2 linked regions of the Stegostoma tigrinum genome follow. The protein of the gene in region 1 purifies or fractionates together with the protein of each later gene. This does not show direct contact. Links are inferred from orthologs where the notes say so. Each region holds a gene or a part of one and is shown on either strand. Other genes may lie near its edges.

Evidence for each region.
Region 2: the proteins of E3 ubiquitin-protein ligase RNF123 (region 1) and ubac1 purify together in Homo sapiens (affinity purification with mass spectrometry; 7 studies listed by BioGRID and IntAct, counting the BioPlex papers as one, with this or other methods). This does not show direct contact. The link is inferred for Stegostoma tigrinum from reciprocal best matches to the Homo sapiens genes RNF123 and UBAC1.

The regions. Positions count from the first base shown.
Region 1 is NC_081364.1:65,894,664-65,898,576, reverse strand, and holds the start of E3 ubiquitin-protein ligase RNF123, read left to right. Parts: upstream 1-1,036; 5' UTR 1,037-1,152; intron 1,153-2,487; 5' UTR 2,488-2,519; coding exon 2,520-2,601; intron 2,602-3,913. UniProt on the Homo sapiens protein: Catalytic subunit of the KPC complex that acts as E3 ubiquitin-protein ligase. Promotes the ubiquitination and proteasome-mediated degradation of CDKN1B which is the cyclin-dependent kinase inhibitor at the G0-G1 transition of the cell cycle.
Region 2 is NC_081382.1:38,038,679-38,042,591, reverse strand, and holds the start of ubac1 (ubiquitin-associated domain-containing protein 1), read left to right. Parts: upstream 1-1,122; 5' UTR 1,123-1,240; coding exon 1,241-1,378; intron 1,379-3,913.

The sequences.
Region 1 (3,913 bases):
GAAACAGACCCTTTGGTCCAACTTGTCCGTGCTGACCAGATGTCATAAAGTAATCTATTCCCATTTGCCAGTATACCTCTAAACCCTTTCTATTCATATACCCATCCAGGTGCCTTTTAAATGTTGTAATTACAGCAGCCTCCACCACCACCTCCTCTGGAGCACATTCTACACACAAACCACCTTCTGCATAGGTCCCTCTGTCTCCCTAAGCCTAGCCCTCTAGTTTTGTACTCCACTACCCTGGGGAAACGACCTAATGTATTTACCAATTTAATCTATTTAATATTCCAACTGCTACAGTCAATGTATTTGGGTAGGGAAGAGAAGGTGTCTTTGGTGGGGTGGTGAGGGACATTTGTGGAGTGGGGGTATTTGGGAATGGAGAAGAGAACTCGGAAAGGGAGGTCTGGGGTTGGAGAGAGAATTTTAGGGAGGTGGTATTTGGGAAGGATATTTAGGCATGGGGAGAGGTATTTCGGGATCGGACATTTATGGATGGGGATGGCCTATTTATGGATGGCGAGTCTGGTATTTGTGGATGGAGAGTGGTATTTGGGGAGGGAGAGGAATATTTGAAATAGGAGTGTTTGTGAAAGGGAATTATAGAGGGGATGAGTATTTGTGGTTCGGTATTTGGGCAGGGGAGGCTATTGTGGATGGGAGCGGTATTTGAGCAGGGAGAGGGCTATTTGAACAGGGGATGGGAATTTAGACAGGGGGAGGTGTATTGTGGATGGAAAGGGCACTTGATTGGGGGTGTATTTAAGCAGGAGAAGGGTATTTGAGCAGGGGAGGGGTATTTAAGCAGGTGGGTGGGGTATTTGATCAGGGCGAGGTATTTAAACGGGGGATATATGATCAGGGTAGGGGTATTTAAGCGGGGCAAGGGTTTTGAGCAAGCGGAGGGGTATTTGATCGGGGCGGGGTATTTAAGCTGGGGGTAAATGATCGGGGAGGCGTATTTAAGCTGGAGATGGGGCATTGGGGGCGGGGTCGGGACCGACTCCGCCCTATGGGCGCAGCGCATGCGTGCGGCGGGCTTTAGACCGGACTGAAGATGGCGGCGACGGGAGCGGGTCCGTGAGGAGAAGTCGGGACAGAGTGGGTCTTCTCTGAGAAACCGGGGTCTGCGCAAGCTGGGTAGCACAGGTCAGCGGAACCGAGGCCCATCCGAAACCGGAACACTGTCGACAGGGAAACTGAGAGATTAAAAGTGAATGAGAGGTCGGGGGGGGCCGAGATCCTCGTCACTGACCCCGCCCACCCGTCACTGACCCCTCCCCACCACCCCACCCTCGTCACTGACCCGCCCCCACCCTCGTCACTGACCCGCCCCCACCCTCGTCACTGACAACACCCCGACCTCTGTCACTTACTGCCCCCACCCCACCGTCACTAACCACTAACTCACCCTCCTACCCCACCCGCTCCACACCCCCGTCACTTACTCTTCCCTGCTTTCACTGACCCCTCCCCCATCACTGACCTGGCCCCCAAAACTGACCCCTCTCCCAACACATGACTTGCTTCCATTCTTGACCCCATCACTGACTTCCCTCCATTCAGTGACTCCCCCCTCCCCCAATTACTGACTTGCCCCTAATCACTGCCCCACCTCACCATCGTTCCTGGAAGCTCTGCAATCAGTTGATCTCCTCGAATTGCTGACCCTCTCCTTTCTGTGACTCCTCCACGAGTCTGACACTGCCCCCCACCAAAGCACAATGACCCTCTTCTCCCCATCACTTAGGCTCCTGCATCACTCTGAGCCCACACCCAACACTCCCCTCTCACCTAGGCTCCTGGATCACTCACATCACCTCCCCCAACTAATCACATGGACCTCACTACTCAGTGGCCCTCCAGATGCATGCTGACTTTTCCAGTCCCCACATTTACCACCCTTCCAACCATGCTAACCCCCTAATTTCCACACTGACCCCTGTGACTCACACTTGATCTCCAGATCTCACCGACACCCTCCAGACTTGGCTGACATCTTTCAATATCATTCTTCTCTACTGTCCCTGTGTCCCTTGAATTTTTAAAAATGTAGGCATCTTCAATGTACTTAACAATCAATCCTCCACAGCTCTTTCGGATAGAGAATTCCAGCTGATGTTGGAGTGTCTTTCATATTGAACTGAGGCAATCAGCGATCTATTTCCTACGATTCGTCTCATGCTAATTCCCCAGTAGGCTAATTCTCAAAGTTTGCTCTTAAGTTTACTTTGATTTCACTTGCTGCCTTATGTTTTCAGTTCTTATCTGGCCAGTTATCCTTTGGGTAGCTCACTGCCTTTCAGTGCAAGTAGTCAAGCAAATGTTGGTCTTTGAAATAACTTTCTTATATCTGCTACTAACATTACCATCTTCCTTGGGCACATGCTAAGCTCACGCTGAATAATAGATAACGGCAGCCATCTCAGAACATGGAGTGAAAATACTGAAGCTGTTTCCTCCACTAAATTTGTTTTTACATAGTTTTACAAATTGGAGAGACACTAATTTGGAAAATGACGTCTAAAGGCACCAGCACATCCTACTCCAGGAGAAGTTATCGGTTGACCTCTGATACAGAAAAACCAAAGGTCACAGGTATGTTTGGTATCAAGGGTTGGGACAGCCTGAGTGATCCTAATTGTGATGTGTGTGTGAACATCCTATATCTACTTAGTTTGTGAGAGAAGTATACTTTGTTTGGGAAGTACTTAAAAATAACGTGAAAGATTGGCAAATTGAACAACTGAATGTATCTGGATGGAATTGTGACCTGTGAAACTGCTTGGATGGGAAATGTGTTTTTGTCTCCTGTTTCACTAATCGATGACTTGGTGGCATTCCCCACAATTGTAAGCCCATTGAAATCCCATGTTGCTGGCAACTATGTTTGGATTTCAGCACTCCGAAATCTAATTGGTGGCAGCCCCGACTCAACAGTAACGCTCTCACCCTACGTGCAAAGGTTGTGCAAGGCTAGGAAATGCAAGTATACTCTGATGTTATTTTTAACGGCTTCAGCTGATGCAGTGTGAATAGTTGTGATGCCATCAGGAGTGGCTCTCCCATGTTAGGTGTGCGGTCTGTGAGCGATGGTCTGACTTAGATGACCAGAGGTTGAAACCTGGGACTTCACTAGGTGGGATCCATCACCAGGTTGCAGTTGGAAATCTTTGAAATTAACCAAGTGGTTTGCCGACCAGAGGTAGGTCTGTAACCACTTTACAGGGTATGATGGTATTCCAGTCAAGACTGCTTGATTTCAGACAAGTGTGAAGATTTTACTTGTGCGACTGTGTCAAGTAGAGTGCTTTATTATTTGGTGATGTTCTCCTTCACAAAGGATATTTTTGTTATAGACATTGTGGATTTCAATGTGTGCCAGCATAGGAAGTAACAGAAGCTCTCTCGATGCCAGAGAAGTAATCTTCATCATTGCTTGGAGCTGGGCATCTACCTTGTTGGTCCAGCAGTTCCTGAACCTGTTGAGCAGCAGTATTCTAAGATAATAAAATGTGAGGCTGGATGAACACAGCAGGCCAAGCAGCATCTCAGGAGCACAAAAGCCGACGTTTCGGGCCTAGACCCTTCATCAGAGAGGGGGATGGGGAGAGGGAGCTGGAATAAATAGGGAGAGAGGGGGAGGCGGACCGAAGATGGAGAGTAAAGAAGATAGATGGAGAGAGTATAGGTGGGGAGGTAGGGAGGGGATAGGTCAGTCCAGGGAAGACGGACAGGTCAAGGAGGTGGGATGAGGTTAGTAGGTAGCTGGGGGTGCGGCTTGGTGTGGGAGGAAGGGATGGGTGAGAGGAAGAACCGGTTAGGGAGGCAGAGACAGATTGGACTGGTTTTGGGATGCAGTGGGTGGGGGGGAAGAGCTGGGCTGGTTGTGTGGTGCAGTGGGGGGAGG
Region 2 (3,913 bases), on another chromosome or scaffold:
AACAAGTTCAAATTCCACCATCTTTAGAAGGGCAATCCAAGATGAACTATAGATGTTGGCCTTGCCAATAATGTTCACTCATATAAAAACTGAAAGAGCTGCGGATGCTTTAAATTAGGAACATAAACAAAAGTTGCTGGAAATGCTCAGCAGGTCTGGCAGCAACTGTGAAGAAAAAATCCTTCTGAGAAAGGGTCACCAGACCTGAAACGTTAACTCTAATTTTTTCTTCACAGATGATGCTAAATCTGCTGATGTTCACACATTTTATTAAACACTTTGTTCATGGGATTTGGGCAATTCATTCACGCATATTATTATCTGTTTTTGGAACAGCTGGGTCAGCCACAGTTCGCGTCTCTGAGGCACGAGGTGGGAGATCCAAGTCCCACTCTAGGAGTCCTGCACAAAAATATAGACTGATGTTCCAGCGTAGAACTGTAGGAATATTATAAAGTTGGAGCTGCTATTTGTTGGGTGAGAGGTTAAAACCAAATCTTGATTTGCCCACTTGCCTGAAAGATCCCAAAGGCACAATTTCAAAGTGTTATTATCCCTGGTGTCCTGGTGAACATGTAACCTTCAAATAATATCACAAGAAAGCATGCACCATAATAACCAGATTTTCTTGTGATCCTGTTTGAAGGTTACATTGTGGGAGTGGATTTGATTAGCTCAGTTGACTGGATGGCTAGTTAACAATATCAAGAGTGTGGGAGGTTCAAGTCCTGCATTGACTGAGGTTAATGCAAACAACTCTCCTTCTCAAACTCTCTCTGTGTCTGAAAAGTATGTTAACCCATCACCAGTTATCTCTATCCAGTAAGAGAGTAGCCCATGTGATCCAGTAAGATTATGATGAATTTACTTTGTGGGAGCTCATTATGTGCAATTTGATTGCTGCGTTTCCTCTGTGACACCAGGGACTGTGCTTTAAAAAGCTGTATTTAATCGGCTGTAAAGCATTTGTGGTAGGTCCTGTATGGGTGTACCTGAACGCTAAGTCTTCCTTGCTCTTCAGCAAGTGATGGGGGGGGGTAGAGAACTACAACATCCAGGATGCATTGCAAAGTGCGCGCACGCGCTGTCGGTTGACCCCGCAGGGAGGGGGTGGGAGGTGAGAGGTCGCACTGGTTTGTGAAGGTGGAGGCGGCAGCGGGAGGCCGGGGTCGGCGGACATACCGACTGCAATGATCACCGGCGACAGGAGTAGGCCGTGACTTGGAGTTGAGAGGAGGCCATGTTTGTGCAGGAGGAGAAGATCTTCGCCGGTAAGGTGCTGAGGCTCCACATCTGCACCATGGAGGGCACCGAGTGGCTGGAGGAGGTGACCGAGGAGACCAGTGTCGAGAGCCTCAAGGAGCGCTGCTTGAAGCATGTAAGGGCAGGCCCCGGGGCCCGGGGACGGCTGGGAGCCCCGGGGATCCCTGTCTCTTCGCAAACCCCCCACCTGCATGATTTTCATTCCCCTCCCCCTTTCCTCAGTCTTTCACTTCTTCTTTCTCTCTCCCTCAAGTCTTCACTTCTGTTCACCCCACGCCCCCCCCCCCCCCCCCCACCCCCCCCCTCCCCCCCCCTCCCCCCCCCCTCCTCCCCCCCCCCCACCCCCCCCCCCCCCCCCACGCCCCCCCCCCCCCCCCCCACGCCCCCCCTCCCCCCCCCACGCCCCCCCTCCCCCCCCCACGCCCCCCCTCCCCCCCCCCACCCCCCCCCCCCCCACCCCCGCCCCCCCCTCCCCCCCCCCACCCCCCCCTCCCCCTCCCCCCCTCCACGCCCCCCTCCCCCCCCCCCCCCCCCCCCACCCCCCCCCCTCTCCCCCCCCCACGCCCCCCCCCCCCCCCTCTCCCCCCCCACGCCCCCTCTTTCCCCCCCCCCTCGCCCCCTCTTCCCCCCCCCCTCTTCCCCCCCCCTCTTCCCCCCCCCTCTTCCCCCCCCCTCTTCCCCCCCCCTCTTCCCCCCCCCCTCTTCCCCCCCCCCTCTTCCCCCCCCCCTCGCCCCCCCCCCCCCCCTCGCCCCCCCCCCCCTCGCCCCCCCCCCTCGCCCCCCCCCCTCGCCCCCCCCCCTCGCCCCCCCCCCCCCTCGCCCCCCCCCCCTCGCCCCCCCCCCTCGCCCCCCCCCCCTCGCCCCCCCCCCTCGCCCCCCCCCCCTCGCCCCCCCCTCGCCCCCAAACGCCCCCCCTCCCCCCCCCCACGCCCCCCTCCCCCCCCACGCCCCCCTCCCCCCCCCACGCCCCCCCTCCCCCCCCCCCCTCCCCCCCCCTCTTCTCCCCCCTCTTCTCCCCCCCTCTTCTCCCCCCCTCTTCTCCCCCCCCCTCTTCTCCCCCCCCTCTTCTCCCCCCCTCTTCTCCCCCCCCTCTTCTCCCCCCCCTCTTCCCCCCCCCTCTTCCCCCCCCCTCTTCCCCCCCCCTCTTCCCCCCCCCCTCTTCCCCCCCCCTCTGCCGCCCCCCCCTCTGCCGCCCCCCTCGCCGCCCCCCCTCGCCGCCCCCCCCTCGCCGCCCCCCCCTCGCCGCCCCCAAACGCCCCCCCTCTCCCCCCCGCCCCCCACCCCCCTCTCCCCCCCCCCCGCCCCCCCCTCTCCCCCCCCCTCCCCCCTCCCCCCCCCCCCCCCTCTCCCCCCCCCCCCCCCCCCCTGTTCCATGATGATCGTTTTCTTGATATTTATAGTTTGGGAGAACAAGCTGCAAGCATGGAGAGATGATTCATGAGTCTTTGTAGCTAAGTTTTCATGTGAGTACCCAGTGTAGCTGCTTCAGATGTAGTTTTGTTTTCTGTTTGGTCTTGATAGAGTGTAGCACTTGCCTGATCTGTAGGGCTTCCCCACATCCAATAGAAAGTCACGCCCTGAAATCTGGTTCTCAATGCACATTATGCCTGACCTGCTGTTTATTTCCTACATTATTTTTTCCTTTTGTTTCCAATTTTTAGTGAACACTATCTTCTGAGCTTGTTTGCAATGACAACAGTGATTACAACTTCAGATATTATTCTCTGTCTGTGAAGTGGTTTGGGACATCTTGACGACATTAAACAGAATTGCAGGAAAAGCTCAATGGGCCTGGCAGCATCTGTGGCGAGAAATCAGAGCTAATGCTTAGGGTCCAGTGACCCTTCTTCAGAACACAGATCTGTGCTTTTCCAGCAGTTTTTGTTTTTGTTTCTGTTTTCCATTATCCGCGGTTCTTTGGGATTTTATTGAGGATATTAAAGATGCTTTAAAAATGGATGCTCACTTTTTTCCTAAACTGAAGTGCAAACTAAAATTATCCTAGGTTTACCCAAGAAAAATTTTTAAATTCTGATCTGTTCTAAGTGTCACCGAGCCTGAAATGTTAACTCTTGATTTCCCTTCACAGATTCTGCCAGACCTGCTGAGCTTTCCAAGCAACTTCTATTTTGTTTCTGATTTGTTTGAACTGCCTTGGTTATGAATTTGGTTATTCTAATGTAAATTCATTATAATAATGTATAATTTGTTATTATATTCATTATAATATAGTATAGTATTATATAATATAAGCAATGTAGTCTGAAAAAGATTACCAGGCAAACTCAAGGTTACAATTGAAGTGAAATGACTTGATAGTAAAATCTGACTTGGTTTTTATTTATTTAGCTCATTATGATAGTCATTGTTCACGAGGTTGCAGAGTGTCTTTAACAATAAACACTTATTACACAAATGAAACAAAATAACTGACAAGCTGCGTTTCAATGTAGAAGAATGTTTAGAATAATCTAACTAGATTATTGAATGATTAATTAGAATGACCCCTTAACACAATGGTTCAAACTGTTTCTTGACGCCTGCCTATTTCAGTGACTGAAGCCTAGAAAATTTACATTTCATTTCACAACTCTCTAGGGCTCTACTTGGCTGACTGGGAAACAATTCAGTGACTCTTTTCCTCATCTGC